Linked DNA regions of Arabidopsis thaliana. The protein of the gene in region 1 interacts with the protein of each later gene in a pairwise test. Each region holds a gene or a part of one and is shown in the gene's direction. Other genes may lie near its edges.

Region 1 (8,141 bases):
AATTTCAGTTGTAAACTTAAGTCGTTGTTGTTATTATTTTTTTGTTTGTTAAGGGTTGTTATTATTTTTAATGAGATATTATTATTGTTAATTTTTCCACTTTATCGAGTCAGCAAGCCTTATTTCGAACTTCGTGTAAGAGGTTACTGTGGCTTTGGACCACTATGCCATATGTGATTAATGAATGAGTCTTTTTTTTAATGTCTACTGTATACATCTTATTTTTCAATTAAAGAAAGCGTTAGTGTAAGAAAAAATTTATAACATATTTACAGTAAATAATTAAGAAAATAACACTATATATGTATCAATTAACTAACTAATCTAAAGGGTTTATTAAATGATTATAGGTGGTGGCGGTGACTCTGGCGACTGCAGCGGCTCCGGCGACGGCGGTGACTTCGGTGATGGCTCCGGCGACGGCGGCGACTCCGGCGCGACGGTGATTCCAGCGGTGACTCCAACAACGACGGTGGTTCCAGCGATAACTTCGGCGACAACGACGGTGACAGCTCCGACGATGGCAGTGACTCCAGTGACAATGGGAACCCCAACAATGGAGTAATGGCTCAGGTGATGGCATTCATTCCGGTAAGGACGGTAACGGCGGCAGTGGCGGCAGCGGCGGCGGTGACGTCGAAGGTGGCGGCAGTGGCAGCAGCAACAGTGGTGGTGGTGGTGATAATTATTGTGGGGGTGAGGACAAACTTGTAATATTATATATTACATAATTATTATAGTGTAAGTTTTTTGCAATAGATTAGTTTCTTAATTAATAAGTTTTTTTTAGGTTATACATGCAAATTTCGCTTATAAAAATAAAATGATCAAAAAGAAAAGAAAAGAATGAATTAGATATAATGAATACTGAGAACAAACGAAGATATATGAACAAAAAAGTTAAAAATGTTAAGTTTTATGGTTTCTAATTCGAAACTAGTTAACAATGAATAAAGAGATTTATATTTTTTATACACTAGTCAAGTCTATTCTATATTTTTAATGTGGAATTTTTTCTATACGCTTCTTGGAAATAATGTTTTTCTAGTTATTTCGACAGAATTTAGTTTTTTTTTGAACTATTAATTAGTAAAGATGACCAGACCACTTTCCGGACTGGATTAGTGAATCATGTGTTTTTGGACTCTGATACCATGTTAAGTTTTATTGGTTTTTAACTCAAAATTAATTGACAATAAATGGAAAGGTCTATATCTCTTATATACAACTCAAATCTATTAGATTGTGCGGTTTCAACTCAAAACTAATTGACAATAAGTGGAAAAACTCATAACTTATATATATACCACTTAAAATTATACTCAACTTCTAATGTGGAACAATATTCCTAATATGCCTCATTGAGATCGATGGTTTTTCTAGCCATTGATCACGATATATTTGGTATAGATCGATGGACCAACTACTAAACCGGACCGATGTGTATTGGGTTGAATATCGGCTGACTCAAAATGATGCAAAAGCCATATGCCTCGAAGTTTTATAATTGGATTTCATCATCTATACGCGTGATAGTATAACAATTAGGTTTCAAATGGCCTGTTGGGCTTTTAACTATTCAATTACAGCCCATATATATAGTCAACATTAAAAATACCAACACATTGTCATTGACATGTTTGTACAAGCGTGGTCAAACAGAAATGATGTTATTCTGCTGCTTCATCAATTTATCTCCCTTGTGAATTGAGATTGATGGTTATAATGTTATGTTACTAACATCTTAATATATAAAGTTTGGTTTCTCAAAATTAGTCATTAATGTGATAATTTATAAAACATAATTTCTACAGTATTTTCATGTTTTTAATAAAAATACATGCTTATATATTGAAGTGAAATAATTACTAAACGGAAAACAATTAAAGTGAAAAAACACACCATTGTTTAGACGCAGGCCACACTTTTATTTTGGTTCTGTTTTTCGATTTAAACCTCAAACCTCATAATTCTTTAAACATTCAAATTGTCCCACCGTTTTTATAGATTCCTTCTAGATCGTCAAACACTTATATTCTTCCTTTTCTTTTTGTCAACACATTCTGACATTCATATAACTTTTCGTGTAAAACTATAATATAAATAAATGTGATAAATACACTTCTAATTCTTTCGTAAATGATATATCAAGAAATTTCCCAAAATTTTTTAAAATGTTACGTGTTATAAAGAAATTAATTAGGAATAAAAAAACTATTAAAAGATGACTTTTAAGGAAATGAAATGACGGTGTTATGATAAGAAATGAAGAATTTTATCATTTAAATTGACCTTTCCCCGAGAAGATACGCACTAAAGATACCCAATTGGTTTATCAAAACCGTAATAATCGAACCATAATTCTTCTCATACATCAAATACCGGAATAAATTTGAAAAATTGGTCGTTACTATATTTGGTTCAATAGCAATTTAAACAATACCGGAATTTCGATTTGGTACGTACCGGTTTGGTTATGTGACACATTTCAATATCAACCTTCCCATAAAAGTTCTTTCTCGTAATATAAATTAAATCCTCTTTGCTCTCTCGCTCGCTTCCTCTTTTCGATTTGGATCAGAAAAAATAAAATTTCTTCGGAATTTCCAATAATCTGTCTCTCTTCTTCTTCGATCGAAAATTTGACTTTTTTTCGAATTTGTTTTTTCATTAGCTTTGGTTGATATCATCATCGTCAATGGCGACCGCTTCATCTTCAGAATCTCCGAGCGAAGAAACGCAGACGAATCAAGAAGCGATGCAGCAGCAAGATTTACCGAAGGAAACTACTACGGAGGAGGAGATTTTGTATAAGACGAAATCGATTCAGTTCCTTGGAAGAACCACACCTATCATTCTCCAGAACGAAAATGGACCTTGTCCTTTGTTAGCCATTTGTATGTTTCTATTTTCTCCTTTTTCGTCCTCATAAAACTTCATTCAGATCGTAAAAATAGGGTTTGGAAAGTGGAATTTCGGTGTTATGATCATTGATTCTTTAGGTTTGCGTTACTGATTTTGTGGAATTTGTAAAAGAAATTGAAGAATCGGTGTTAGGTTTGCTTGTTCCGTACAATGTAATGAATCATTGATTTGATGGTTAGTGTACCGAACATCAGATTTTGTTGTTAGCTTGAGCTTCTCGTAGAAATGACAAGTGTGAGAATTTGGTATTTAGTGTGCTTAATAATACTTAGATCAATTAACACTTTGATTACTGATTGTTATTTGATTTTGGGATGAAACAGGTAATGTGCTTCTCTTGAGAAACAACTTGAATCTAAATCCTGACTGTTATGAGGTTTCTCAAGAGAGATTGATGTCCCTCGTGGTCGACAGACTCATTGATTCCAATAGTAAAGTCAATGTAAATAAGCTGGCTTCTTATCTTTGCCTGTTCTTTATATTATCTTGTGGCTTGAATCTATGTGAATCTTTTATTCTTCTCAATGGCAGAACAAAGATGAAGGATATATTGAGAATCAGCAACAGAACATTGCTGATGCAATTGATCTTCTTCCACGCCTTACTACTGGAATTGATGTCAATATTAAATTCAGGAGGTTAATACTTTGTCAGCTGTTTCTGCTTATAATAGGTAGAAATTCATAAGTTAATTATCATGAGTGTTTACCTGGTTGCAGGATTGATGATTTTGAGTTCACACCTGAATGTGCAATATTTGATTTACTTGACATTCCCTTATATCATGGATGGATAGTTGATCCTCAGGTATATCATTTTGTTTCATACTTTATCAGAATGGCTCTGTCTGCGCGTAAATAATTAAATTTCATTAGTATAGGCTGTTGACGTTTTTTAATTTCGTTCCTGTCTTTTGTGTGTGGATGTTTGGGATGTGGGGTCATCTTCTCTTCTTTATCTTCTTGAGAGTTGAGAAACAAAACATAGGTTACTTTATTCTTTTTATCCATTGTTTGGCTCGTTTTAAGATGGATTGGAACAGTGGTCAAGAGCACTCATTTTAAGATGGTGTCCTTATCAATCCTGGGCCTGTAGTAAAACTGTAAAAGTATTGATTCAATTGTTTCCCATGTGCATACCTACAGGATGTTGAAGCAGCTAATGCAATTGGTAGCAAATCGTATAATGCTCTTATGGGTGAGCTAGTTGCACTGGAGACACAGAATGTAGAGGCTCAAGGCGATCAAAATCCCGGAGAAGATTCTGTTGATTTTGCTGCGGCAACTACTGCAGTTTTAGGGGTTCCTTCACCTTGTCTTTCGAAAACAAGATCTTTTGATGATTCTCCACCTGCGGCTGCAGAGCTTCGTAGAATGAGAAAGGGGGATCTTGAAGAAGAAACAGAGTTGTTGCAAGCCTTGCAGTTATCACAGGGGCAGGGGAATGATCCAACTCCAAACACTAACGGAGACTCAACCAATCAAGATTCTGCGTTCACATTTTCAGATGCGAGTCCAACTAGCACCCATATTACTAATATCAGTCAGCTAGACCAGTTCAAAACTGATGATGATAAAGCATCAGAAAATGATGGGAATATGATCAAAGTTGGGAAATTTCCGACAACGATTACAACTAAAAGTGAGGATCTTAACCATGATCAATTATCTTCTAAGCAATCTGGAGGTGAAACGGCTTGTGATGTTGAGAACGTGAGTAGCAGCAAAGAGGCCATTGTCGATGTAACTTCTTCTGAGGCACTCTCTGTGGATAAGGGTAATCTGGAGTCAGCGAAAAGTGAAAGCAGTTCTGAGAGTGTACTCAAGTCTGATGCAGCTTCTATTGATCCAGGTAGTTTTTTTGACTCTTCCTTAGTTGGTGTAACCTTATAGATGTCTCTATACATAAGTATAGTACTCCTCCATCTTAATCATTTTACTGGCTAAAATTGCATCTGAAGATATTAGATAGGAAAATTCTTACTCAGATACCCATTGCATCTCCAGATTTGAGTTGCAGATCCCAGCATGATGATGCACCCAACGCTTTTATCCCACCTGTATCTACCGATGAACCTATGTACGAAGGTGAGGAATGTGTAAACACAGTGCCTCCAGTTTGTGCAGACAAAGAACCCGTTTATGAAGGTGAGTCACTTCTTGGTAAAAGGGTTGAGAAGGATGTTGGTGATTGTTCTTCTGAAGGGAGGGCTACGGATGGGCTCACAGCAGAAGAAGGTAAATTATACTGTGTCTGATCTACTTGTGATACACTTGAAATACATTTTCGGAAACTCATACATGCATGCCATTGTGGTTAGAGCTGCTCTCTTTGCTCTAGTTCACATTTTTCCATATATTCTTGCAATTATTAAATAGTTGTTCTTGAGTTTTTCCAGGTGAACTAATCAGGAACTTTATGAAGAATAGTGCAAGTCAATTAACCTTTTGTGGGTGCGTGATCTTATTCATAGTTAGGAAGTTATATTTTAAATTGACTGCTCATGTATTATCTTACATTGATTATTGATCATATCTTACAGACTCTTTCGCTTGCAAGAAGGCCTCAAAGAACGTGAACTCTGTGTTTTTTTCCGGAACAATCATTTCTGCACCATGTTCAAGGTTTGTTTAGTTTGCGGTTATTTCCATCTTTGAATTGCAACAGGTTAATCCCAACTAAATTCTTCTTGTTGCTGTCATATTTTCAGTATGAAGGTGAACTTTATCTTTTGGCTACAGATCAAGGTTACCTGAATCAGCCTGATTTGGTTTGGGAAAAACTAAACGAGGTATCAGCAAAAGTTACTTACTCACCATTTGTCTTATCTGCTAATTTTGGCTTCTTAGGAGATATCTCTATATCCACAATCTCTTTAGAGCTATGGCTGTTGTGACCACTATTGACATGCAATCTGGTTTCAGGTTAATGGTGACACTGCATTCATGACTGCTACCTTCAAGGACTTCACGATCGACAGCAGCACAGGTGGTGCAAGTGGCACATGGGATGAACGAAACGCAGTCACAAATACTGCTGTATGTTCTCCTCATAATATAGTCACTAATCCACATTAGATCTCCTTCTTTTACCTTTTTAATCATTTTTTTTCTTTTGGTTCTCCCTACACAGGATTATCTTGCCAGCATCAACAATGTAGCGGATGCAGGCATAGATGTCAAGTAAATATTTCATACCTTTCTTTGACCACTAACCCATTGGTTCTCACCAGAGACACATTTATGCATTTGTTATAACTGTCCTCTTAAAAACATATTTATGATTGTTTAATTTTAATTCCCATGGTACTATGCAGTTCTGATCTGCAACTAGCAATAGCTTTGCAACAACAAGAGTTTGAGGACCAGAGCCCACGTAGTAACCCAACTCCACAACCAACTAGCGTTGCTGCCTCACGATTGGTCACTGGTCCACAGGTATTTCATTCCTACTCATAACACTATATTCTTAAAAAGCAGGAATCGACACAAATGGTTAACAATGATTATAAGAAAAGGTAAATTACCGTGTGACCTGCACATTGCAACAATATACAACACTGATTATTAAAATAGTAAGAGAGTATAGCCTTAACAAGCACATCTGCAAGTCCTGTTTAGTACATTTGTTTTCTGTCCATATACTTTACCGACTAAGATGAGTTTACAAGTACCAATTGCGAGTGTAAAACATCGATAATGATCATACACCGTAATCAGAAGCTCATTGAATATAATGCAGCCTTGCTTCTTGTGGTGTTTGGATGAATGTTAATGATCAGATATTGTACTGACCATTGCAGGTACCAAGGAGCAGCCACAGGCCATCATCAGCTGCGTCTTCGAGACACGACGGCAAATCCCCTAAAGATAAAGATAGCAAATGTAGAATCATGTAAATCCTCATTTCACTTATGTAAATTTCCAACTTTTTCTTATTCCCTAACTAATTTTAATCCTTAAAAGCTTTTTGGTTTTAACAAAAAATAAACTGTAATTGCGCTTTGACTAAACTATTTTTTGTTGCTCATAAAAAATCAGAGCTTTTCTTTATCCTTTTGAGAAGTGGGAGACGAATTAGAGTTTGTGTTCACGTTTTGGCTTTCGTTCTGTTAAGTTACTCTGATCGCCGTTACTTTTTTGACGGAGTAACGGCTATTGTCCGTGATGCCTTTTATAATAATTCTGCTTAGCCGGCTCGGTTTGACTAATCGCCAACTTTTTCAAGTTGTAATCGGAGAATGTGATTATTAATCCCTAATTAAAATACTTTTTATCTGCATTAGCTAATCATTTTGACTAGTTATAAACTTAAAATAATAAATAAATTATATCCTAATCCCTCAATTCGAATTTCAAACTAGTTTGTATTTCTTTACAAGTTCAACTTTTTTCTTTTCACTATAAGATAATGATGTGCTAAGACCACGACTGATAGATAATATGAATCCACTAGAGCTGTTGAAAATTATAGTTCAAAATTGAGGAAGACTTCAACAATGAAAATGTCTTCTCCATTGAAGAAAATGTCTTGATTTATTATTCAATACGCAATTATATGGTTTAATTTAGTGATTTTTCGAATGTTTACTTCTTGTTGATAATAAATATTAAATAGTAATATGATTTCATTTCAAGAAAATGTCATGCTTAATTATTACTTACACTATTAAGTCGAATGTTTAATTTCTAGTTGATATATAAAAATAGTAACATCACCACTCAAATGAAGTTGCATCAAAAGAGGGACCAGAGAGAAAGAGTTTCGTGAGCAGCCAACAACCAAAGTGGAAGTCCTCTTAGTCGTCGTTACTAAAAACAAATAATTTATTAGTTTAATTGAAGATTAATTTGTGTTATTAATGGCTAAAGTTAGAACGATTCAACAACGGCAGCCAATATCTTTAAAATGTTCCGATTCTTCCGTTTCAAGTCAACGTTCCCTTCGTTTCCTCCCACCTTCTTCTTCACAAAAATCTGAGATTTCATATAAATTTGCCCATATTTTTAGATCTCCATTTGATCTGAGTTTGTATTATCACAAAGTTTTATCTTCTTTTTTTTCACTCTTCAGTCTTGATCTCTCGATTATTGCCCACCAAGTGATCGATCTTTTGTCTCACTGAACTCGGTTACGCTTGAGATTTGATCTAACAGCTGAAAGTTTCTGACTTTTTGGGTTTTTGATTTCGATTTTCATGGCGTATCATCCGGCTT
Region 2 (4,725 bases), 9.4 Mb from region 1:
GCAGATAGTCACAGTCCCAAGTCCCCAACCAATCAAATCCCTTAGAAGAAGACATATCAAACTTAGAAATCCTTCATGACAATGGATCGAGTAAGTCAACAATGAATTAAGCGACTAATATGTAAATATGATGTGTATCACTAGACTAGAGCGGTAGAGCCATATATTCCAGAATCAAATCAAAGCTACTTGCTCAAGGACCATATGTATATGACCTTTTTCTTTCCGAGGGGTCCATACGTATATTAATTTCACCTTTTTACATTTAAAATTGTGTTCAAGAAAAGTTTCATAAGCGCCAGAATTCTGAATAAAGGAGAGAAAATTTTGGATGATACAAAGTCTACGAAACAAATGGATAATCTAAAGAAATGGGAGAGTTTTATCAACTTAGCCAGCCACCACATAATTTGAAAATTTCTTTTATAGATCAATCATGTCCATAACGGAAAGTTTAATAGGTGACTCAAAAACTATCAAAAAGAGAAGTTAATTGCATTCTATTTACAAGATGGGGTCTTTCATATTTCGGAAAAGCAAAGTTAAAGTCCATAAATTATTAAAGAGAGACACCAAAAAAAAGGACAGAAAAGTGTATAATGTTGAGCTTGTCTTAGTGAAGAAGGAAATCAGTCTCATTAAGTGTTCCACATTTACAAATGGGCTTTCTGCTAGAAGATAATCTTATAAATCTATTGGCAATATATATCTGTATAATTTGTGGAATGTACATTCTAATGTTTTTTCATAGTTTTAAAACATGTATCTCAGATTCTCATAAACAAGTTATAGGCTTCAAATAGACAGGATTTTTACTTTAGTTTTGGGTTTGAGAGTTTAGGAGTTAGAAATTTATTAGATCATCAAATTAACTTAAAATTTTCAAACTAAAGACTGAAAAAAAGAGCTTCTTACATCCAAATCCCATCCATAATGGCCTTTCAGATTTTTTGGGGGGTTAATTTAATTGTGGCCTTTCAGTTTGCGCTTTCTTTTTTTTTAATTTCCCTTTCCAAAAGAGTATCAAAATGGGATAAAAAGAAAATAAGGTTATGACTGTTAATTTCCTTTTCTTATCGACCAAAACTTTCTGTCGACAACGCCTGTTCATATCTATGTCGTTTTTACAGTTGCATGTGTACGTTGTTAGACATAGAGATCTTGTTAGATCATGTGTACGTAATTTGACGACGTATGTATTCATCGTAAGTGATCATGGGATATATAGTAGGACTCTTGTCACTCTTGAATTAAGAAACATATTTTTTTTGTGCCAAAGAACTCTTTACATGCATATACCTTTAATTAGTTATTTAGTTTGTTAAAGATCCTACACTTGCCAGTTTCCATTTGTATTCTCCACTTTCATAGAAGGCTTTTTTAAGTAACTGCTTCTTCTTGTATTGTTTTGCACGCATCTATAAAGTGTAAACGCCAACGTTTTGATTACATATATGTTATTTTATTTCATCTTTGGATTAAACAAAACACACTTTCTTGAAACAAAAATATTAGTCTAAATTGAGCACGTAAAAATTGTACAATGATAATTAACCTAAACACGACAAAGACTATTACAAATCTTCCGATAAATTTATGCAATTAATCTTTCACATTAATTTAGTTTCATAACAGCGTCTTTAGATTTATCTAGAAGATGCACGTATATGTAGAAGTGAAGATCGAATAAATGATGAAAACAAATCAGGGAATATGAAGAAGATGTGATTGGTCATGAGTTACCTCATGGGCGATGAAGGAATAGCTAGGACAGCTTTTGGGAGCATTGAGAATAATTTTGTGGATAAAGTAAAAACAAAAGAAAGCAAATGCTGTTCACAATTATTTAGATGTTTTTTTCCAAAATAAAAAGTCTTGGGAGAATTGAATTTTCTACATTTTATTGCAATAAAATTGATTTAATTTAAAATAAACTTTTTATTATTATCATGAATATTTTTCATAGTCTATATATAATAAGCGTAAGCAACTCAATCCAACACCTACAAGACAAACCCAAGAAAAAACACACAAAAAGATATAACAAAACGGAGCAAATACATATTCCCCAATCCTCTGTTTTTCTTAATGAAACATACAAACTGGTCCTTGTTCACCATGACTATTGTTCTTCTTCCTTTGTTTAATCTCCTGATGACAAAACTCTCTGCTACTCACTTTGTTTCCGTAAATATCACTTCTTTCGAGTGACCTAAATCACTTCCACGATCTCTTAAAAAAGCTCCTTTTCTTGCTTTTTTCTGTGTTTTTCTTTTTGCAAGAATTCATCTTGATGGATCCAATTAAGTTTCAACACTTGAAGATGGAGAAATCCAGAGGAATCTTGAATTTCCAAGCAATAAGATCGTTCACGAGCTTGTTCAGACTGTTCGAGCTTCTTCTTCTTGTAATCTTGATCTCCAAACTCTCTTTCCCTTCTGTAAAAATCTCTGGGGACATTTTCAAGGAAGCAGCAGTGTTTCTCGTTAGCCCGAGATTCGTTTTCTTCATCGGAAACGCAATTGTAATTACTCTTCTTGCGAAATCCGGACGATACAGCTCGAGTCACGAGCCTTCAAAGACAGCAACAGAAGCTGCAAGCAACGATCTTTACCAAGAATTTCTTCACAAGAGTGAGAAGAAGAAACCCGTAGTTTACGCTACGAAAACAGAACAACTAAAGAAGCCGAGTGGAGGGAAGAGGGTTAGTTTCGGGAGAAGCCAATCGCACAAAGCGTTTGAGGCGGTTAAGCCGCTGGAGAGTACCAATGGTGAGAAAAACATGAAGAGGTATGTGTCGGAGAAGCATATGAGGGTTTGTGACTCCGACAAGAAAGTAGTGGTGAGAGTTAAGAAACCAGAAGATGGAATGAGCAACGAGCAATTTAGGACAAAGATTGAAGCTTTCATCGCTAGACAAAAGAGAATTCAAAAGGATGAAGAACACTTGATAATCTAGCTAGATCCTCTTTGCTAGTGAATGTTTTTTTTTTTTTTTTTTTCCTTCTGGTTATAAACTTGAATCCTCTGTTACGTAATCTTGTAACTTTGCCTTAGAAATTCTCTTTATCTTTTACTCTTGTAAACCTTCAAGGTTGCTTAAGTAAATACAACAAATGGTAATTAAAAACAAGATTTGTAAAATAGCTACAGAACCATAAATGATTTAATCTCTTATTATAAATACAAATGAAGAAGTTAATGAGACTAGTTATTCAAATGTTACGAACTCTCCAAATTAACAATTCGGCCATTGACATAGTAAGAATCCAGAGACGTGGACGTCAAAGCATTCCAACTAAAGTTTCTAATTCTATCATGCTGAATGTTGTTTGTATCGTTTGGATTCATGGATGAACCTAGATATTTATTATCTAGTTGGGGTAAAACTGAGTCCATCTGATTGATGTAACATTCTAATTTGTGTAATGTGGTGGTACATACGAGAATAAAGATAATTTATCCACTATCTATTAAAGATGTGTGAACTACTGAATAAGCGATTTTCAATATCATGGGATTGATGATAAAACATAGATAAAGTTCTCGTGGTAATTTAGAAAACAATTAATTAAACTTCTGATTTTTCCAAAGTAGAACTCAACATTTTGACGATAGTTAAATCTTCATACCAAAATAGGTTTGAGGACATACAAATGCATGGTGACGGTCGGATCACACACCTCGAATTTAGGTTTGATATTAAATCAGACGTGGTTAGTTACACTAAAGCATCGAATATTTGATATACCCACACTAGCTAATGCCTAATCTGGAGAGAACTAATAGAAAGTTAATAGGTAAGAATATAAATGGTGTTTCCAAATGCTGGATAGCATTAGGGTTATGGATAAAAGGGAATAGAATTAATAACAGAGGAGAGAATTGTTGGTACTGTATATGTCGTCACGTTATCGATCTTGGTCTCACTTTTATTGGGAATATATTTCAATCCCATTGCAAGTAGTGTAGAAATACCCATAACGTATTTATTTACTTTCAAAAATGTGCTATTGATAAGCCAACACAAGAGTATTGATTCTTTGATATTTTAACTAACTAGAAATAATTAGGTAGCGGACATATGCTCGAAATTTATGCTAAAACCTGAATTACGTAACACTATATTTCAAGCATGTCCGATAAGAACACTGGTAAAAGAAAATGTCAAAAACATTATGAAATCTTGATTCATATATATGTTTATGTTTAATAATACATAATTAACGGATTAATTTTACCTAATATATTTGGAGAACGGAGTGTGGTGAAATTATCTTACGTGTAGGAACCAAATATCTGGAAAGGTGAAGAGGCAAGATACGCTTGCATGAGAAAAGATTGATGCCAATCTACGAAGGATACACGTGAGATAGCCATTATAAACCTGTAAGGAACATATCGTTTATTATAAAATACTTACACTTCATTGTTTACTGTATTTTTTATACGTTCTCCTTACATGTGAGTAGTTATTTATTAATTGGGAGGAAAAAAGAAGTTATATTGTTTACCAGACAAATTTGTTATGAATATTTTAATTGTTATACTCCCTTTTTTGTGGATAACATGTATTATACAAAGGTTAAACTCTAGCGATGACACAACGATGATACTAACACAAAGTATATGTCATACATATTTCCTAGTTAAACATGCTGATTTAAATACATACCATTTGAGTTTAGAGTATTTAATATAAATGTTTATATGGACCAAAACATT
Region 3 (5,906 bases), on another chromosome or scaffold:
TGTTGATTGAAAAAATAAGCAAACACATGGCCAAGTTACAGCTTTAAATTAGTTACAGCGTTGCATTAAACATCTCACAATTACAATCTCTCCCAATTTCCTGAAAAAGCTTCAACCAACAATGGATTTAGTTAATGTTCATTCCAATGACCAACCAATTCTCATCAACAAAGACATGTTCACCAACAATCAACTATCCGAACCAGTCAAAGATCAAAACCTCCATGGTTTAGCCGAAATATTGACTCTTCAGAGATGTGGAGGTACAGAGGAAATTACCAGACCGGGTCAAGACCAAGACTATAAGAGTCAGGAGCAGACTTGCTCCGTGTTCTGTGAGATCGAGGTGATAGGAGAGAGGTCGGAAGAGACCACAGGAGACAGTTGGTTAATATCGTTAAGAGACAAGCTCGATCAAGCACATAGAGACGACGACACAACGATCTGGGGAGAGCTCTGCATGGAGACGTTGACCGAAGTTGACCAACCAAAACTCATGAACGGGCAAGAAAAATCATTGGACATACTTGACGATAAGGGCAAATTGCACTGTCTGGATGTATTTCGTCAGAGTCTGCTCCAGTCTAATCCTACACCGAATCAAAGATCTAGACTAATGAGGTTGACTAAGAATACGTATGTGGTGGACAAGCGATTGCAACAACTGGTAAATTGCGTGACAGAGCTAAGAGGAGCTGGTGTAAAGTTCAGGAGAAGGAATACTGACCGGTTTTGGGATATTCAATTCAAAAATGGTTATCTAGAAATACCCAAACTACTAATCCATGATGGTAAGCTAAAAAGTTTTCATTTCTTTCCTACTTTTTATTCATTACTCACATATGTTTGTATAAAATCTAATTTGTTCAAGCAGCTATGTCAAGAAGTAGTTTTTGATCTCCAAAATAGTCATCTATCTCGACTGTCTACTGATGTAGACTGTTTTTCTAACCGTAGGTGGAATGTTTTTAAGAGAATCTTGATATACAAGTACCAGGTGAACCTTAATAATCCGTGGGCATATTTTTCATTTTTTGCTGCAGTTGCTCTGCTACTTCTCACATTATGTGAGAGTTTCTTTTCTATTTATGCTTATTATAAGCCAAACCCTTAATTTTGTTTTTTGTTTTGTTATATAGTTTTTACTAATATGGAATGTTAAGTTTTTCTGTTTTTTTTCCCATCATTTTCTATTTTCTTCTTTTCAAAATTGGTATTGTAATTTTTGGGTTTTGGAATGTTGTTGAAAAACAATACTAAAAACGTTGATTTGGTGGGTAAGCATAACTAACATCTCAGAATAATCAAGTCTTAGACTATGAATGAGACCAGTGGAACCGGTGGTTTATGTTGGTGCATGAATTAACACATTCGACAATACCGACTTAAACCAGAGAGATTGTGAATAAATCGAAAAAGAGAAGACTTCCATTTAAAAAAGGAGGATCTCACGAAAAATGGAAGGAATGAAAATTCAATCTTTAGATAATTAAAAGTTTAGCATATCCTTAAACTGTCTAAATATTGTATAAATAGAGGGATTTGTCCTCTATTCAAATCATCTGCAACTTAATATAGAAACCCTATTTTTCTTACATTGTTCTGAAGCAAAAGCCCTACCTTCGTTCTTAAGCAACCATGTTCTTCTTTTCATCTAATCTTTGGTTACTTTAGAGCGAAAGAAAGAAGTGAATTTATCTAATCCTTTAATATAAATTTATTATTTGATTTTCAGAATTAATAGTTTAAAAGTGGTTTGATAATTATATTACCATTCAACAACATTTTGCAAAGTGTAGTACACAAAATAACTTGATAACAAATTTATAAAATAGTAATATGTTCTAACAATACTTAACTACAAATGTTTCTTATTTTTTAGGAAACGCGGCACACGGCACAATGAGATGCTTTTATAGAAAAACTACAAAAGTGAAAGAAACACCTCAACATTTTTTCTTATAAGACTATTTTCTTGTAGTCTTTCTTTAAGACTTTCTTTCTTGTAGTCTTTCTATAAGAGCACCTCAACATTTTTTTTTTTTTAATAAGAGTAATTGTTTCTATCAAGAGTAGTTGAAGAAAAGTCAAAGAAACATCGCTCGCCTAGGCATTCATTATCCAATACGTTTAACGATTATTTAACACATTTTAAGTATAAGTATGATTAGATGTCAATATTGGTAGTTGTCATTACAGAAAAACAAGTCCAATAATATAAGCGTCCAGTCACTCTCAAAGTCTCAATCTCCTAAAATACTTCAACAAAACAAAAATGGCAGTTCCTAGTAAACGACGATCACCACCTCCACCACCGCCGCCGCCCCAGCTACCATTTGGACCGAAGCTTCCTTTCCCTCATATTATCATAAGAAGAAAAGCAAGAAGAAATTATCAACTACGACCGATGTTGACCTGGTACTTCCTCACCTTCATGATGCGCCAAAAACTCCAAACCCGAAACCAACAACCTGAAGAGACACGGGAAGAATGGGTGATTTGGATCAAAGACAAGATGGAGCAAGTAATGAGAGACGCCGCCACAACTAGCTGGGACAAGCTCTGTATCTACAGAGTTCCACTCTCCTTTCAAAAAAGCGACAAGAATTCCTACTTCCCTCACACTGTCTCTCTTGGTCCGTACCACCATGGGGACGAACATCTCCGACCCATGGACTATCACAAATGGCGTGCGGTCAATATGGTCATGAAACGTACCAAGCAAGGCATCGAAATGTATATTGACGCCATGAAAGAGCTCGAAGAGAGGGCTCGTGCTTGCTACGAAGGTCCTATTGGTTTGAGCAGTAACAAGTTCACCCAAATGCTAGTTCTTGATGGCTGTTTTGTTCTCGATCTCTTCAGAGGAGCCTATGAAGGATTCTCGAAACTTGGGTAAGCATGATTTAGCTTTATGCTAAACCGGACTGATTTCAGATCCGGTTGACTAAACTAAATGTTGACTTTCGTTTATTTCTTTTTTAACTTTTTTCTTTTTATCTTGGTGTGTAGCTATGATCGAAACGACCCTGTTTTCGCGATGCGAGGATCTATGCATTCGATTCGACGTGACATGCTAATGCTGGAAAATCAACTTCCTTTGATGCCAACTTATATGCCATCAACCAAAATCGAGAATTCGCAAGAAAACAACAATAAATTCTTTCACCCAATTGCTGACAAGGACAAGGAAGAGTTGCACTGTCTGGATGTTTTCCGTCGAAGTGTGCTCCAGCCTAGTCTGAAACCGGAGCCAAGGTTATCGCGTAGATGGTCCTGGAAACCCGTCGTGGCGGACAAGCGCCAACAAAAATTGCTACATTGCGTGACAGAACTAAGAGAAGCCGGTATAAAATTCAAAAGAAGAAAATCCGACCGGTTATGGGATATTCAATTCAAAAACGGTTGTCTAGAGATACCGAAACTACTTATCCATGACGGTAAGTTCACATTTTCGTTTTTATTAGTTTTAAATCATATTTTGCTTATATTGTTGTCGCCTAAGAATCAAACGTGATACCTATCTGCATGTTAATGATTTTGTACAAAACCAAATAGAGCGACATGTATTGGTTTTGTTCAGATTTTTCCCACAAGTCGCTAAAGTAAATAGACTGACATCAATTGTTGCCTATTTCACCAATTCGGAATGATTAGCCATTTAGGCGTATACATTATTTTTCCTAGAGAACCCCATGATGGTAAGTTAGAACTTTTATTTTATTTTCTTTCCTACTCTTTTATTCCTTCCTTTCCCACATATGTTCTCTTTAAAACCAAAAATTTATCTACAGAACCATCACATTATTAAAATTAAACATACGAACCTCTTTCATATTTATTGTAGGTACCAAGTCTCTCTTGTCAAATCTTATAGCTTTTGAGCAATGCCATATCGACTCAACCAAACAGATAACATCCTACATAATTTTCGTGGAGAATCTAATAAATTCTAACGAAGATGTTAGATACTTGCAATATTGTGGTATCATCGAGCATTGGCTTGAGAGTGACTCTGAAGTTGTGGATTTGTTCCACAAATTATGTCAAGACGTGGTTTTCGATCCCATTGATAGTTATCTATATCCACTTTGTCTTGGTGTAGACCGTTTTTACAGTCGTAAGTGGAGTCTGTTTAGTGCAGTCATATTACACAAGTACCAGCTCAACCTTAGAAGTCCTTGGGCATATTTTTCCTTTTTTGGTGCAGTTATTTTGCTACTTCTCACATTTTGTGAGAGTTTCTTTACTGTTTATGCTTATTTTGAGCCAAACACTTAACTTTTGTCCTTTTTCATTCAATTTGGAATGTTTGCATTTTCTTGTTTTTCAACATTTCCTATTTTCTTCTATCCAAAATTGGTTTTGGAATAATATTTTGTTGTTAAAAACAAGTTTAAGAAGGTTAATTTCGGTGGCTAAGCAATAATGGACATGGTTTTTTATTAGGGGGCACAAACAGAGTAACCTAATCGAACTCAAACTATATCCCTATGTACTCTCTGTCTCTCAATCTCTCTTGATTCTCTGTTTCAAGCACTCACATCTCTCTATCTCTTTGTTTTGGTTGAAAGAAAGTGAGAATTTTAACGCATTCTCTTGAACATGGCCGGTCCTGAACCTCATCAAAAAACATGTTTTTGAAATTGTTTTTGAAATTCTTCTGAAAATTTGTTTACAAAACGGTCTCAATTTTGTTTATTTTTTTCTAGTTGGCCTCAATTTTTAAAATCTTTTGAAATAACCTTAAATATTTTTGGGTGCATTTGGCACCCAAAATTCCAGGGGAAGCCCTGCTCTTGAATACCCTTTTGAAAAACCTTTTGGAATCATAAAATGCAGATACTTTCACACGGAGTATACAAATCCACACTTCATAGAATGATCAATAACTCTCATCAATACTGTGTTTGTGTTGCATCCTTCTATGAGGTTTAAAACTTTTAACACTCTGGTGTGTTTTTCCACTGTTGGATTTGGAATCATGTTTTAATTTGAATGAACAGACTAATTTCGACGCGGTAGTGGAGCCATTGGGTATATGTAAACAGAAGTACCCTGGAGGGAGAAGAGGATGCCAAGTTTTCAAAAGAGCTGTCTATGGAGAGCATCTCGTGAGTAAAGTCCAGACCAACTTTGGTATGTGATGGAAGACAGATATCTCTCACCTTCTCTGTACACAATCCACCAACTTCAGCTTCAAGTTTAATTCGTTAGTAATGTGCTTCTCCTCTTCTGTATTATTAATCGATACATATCGATTTGTTTAAAGAAAAAAAGGGTGTGTTTGTTTGTAATATTAGTTTCATAGTTGATTCTTCGAATGTCTGAGAAATCATATATAAAACTCACATCTATAATTTATAAAATAAAATTGTTATACAATAACTTTTAAAAAAAAGATTTGCATTTAATATTCTGGATGTACAGTTTGTTTTGTTTTGTTTCGTCTCCTAATAATTGTTAGTTTTACATGAAAAATGAAATCAGTTAATAGTTGAACTTTGGTAACATTTTTTTTCTCATGACTTTGTTTTATTTTATGTAGTTATTGAATATATATATATATACTACAAGCTATATATGAGAGTCGACAAATTTATTAAGAGTACATAGTTTTTCCTTTTTTAATGAGAGTTTTGGAGTTGAAATGCAGAAAAAGAATAAATTAATTAATCAAATTCAAATCTCACACGTTGGATATAGTATAAACTAGAAGCATTTATTAGAGTCTTTTTATAAGAGTTTTGTAGATTTCAAAATAAGCAAACACATGGCCAGTTCACAGCTTTAAGATTAGTTACAGCGTTGCTTTGACATTTCCCAATTTACGTCTCGCTCTCAATCTCTGGAAAAAGCTTTTAACCAGCAAAAACAAGGGAACCCCCAAAACATTGGTTTTAATT

What was found. The genes of interacting proteins can lie anywhere in the genome.
Region 2: the proteins of AT4G11860 (region 1) and AT4G34560 interact in a protein complementation assay, tested with the Arabidopsis thaliana proteins (one large-scale study listed by BioGRID).
Region 3: the proteins of AT4G11860 (region 1) and AT3G50190 interact in a protein complementation assay, tested with the Arabidopsis thaliana proteins (one large-scale study listed by BioGRID).

The regions. Positions count from the first base shown.
Region 1 is NC_003075.7:7,132,919-7,141,059, reverse strand, and holds AT4G11860 (FAM63A-like protein (DUF544)), read left to right. Parts: upstream 1-2,549; 5' UTR 2,550-2,698; coding exon 2,699-2,897; intron 2,898-3,248; coding exon 3,249-3,367; intron 3,368-3,456; coding exon 3,457-3,563; intron 3,564-3,644; coding exon 3,645-3,732; intron 3,733-4,070; coding exon 4,071-4,776; intron 4,777-4,931; coding exon 4,932-5,162; intron 5,163-5,323; coding exon 5,324-5,378; intron 5,379-5,467; coding exon 5,468-5,549; intron 5,550-5,635; coding exon 5,636-5,716; intron 5,717-5,849; coding exon 5,850-5,963; intron 5,964-6,057; coding exon 6,058-6,107; intron 6,108-6,241; coding exon 6,242-6,362; intron 6,363-6,727; coding exon 6,728-6,823; 3' UTR 6,824-7,164; downstream 7,165-8,141. Other genes in the region: AT4G11870 (uncharacterized protein), read left to right, coding at 341-565; PLDGAMMA1 (phospholipase D gamma 1), read left to right, coding at 8,123-8,141.
Region 2 is NC_003075.7:16,505,630-16,510,354, forward strand, and holds AT4G34560 (uncharacterized protein), read left to right. Parts: upstream 1-1,986; 5' UTR 1,987-2,293; coding exon 2,294-2,959; 3' UTR 2,960-3,195; downstream 3,196-4,725.
Region 3 is NC_003074.8:18,607,539-18,613,444, reverse strand, and holds AT3G50190 (transmembrane protein, putative (DUF247)), read left to right. Parts: upstream 1-2,182; 5' UTR 2,183-2,275; coding exon 2,276-2,895; intron 2,896-3,012; coding exon 3,013-3,440; coding exon of another isoform or gene 3,441-3,517; exon of another isoform or gene 3,518-3,847; coding exon 3,848-4,281; 3' UTR 4,282-4,376; downstream 4,377-5,906. Other genes in the region: AT3G50200 (hypothetical protein (DUF247)), read left to right, coding at 122-791, 958-983.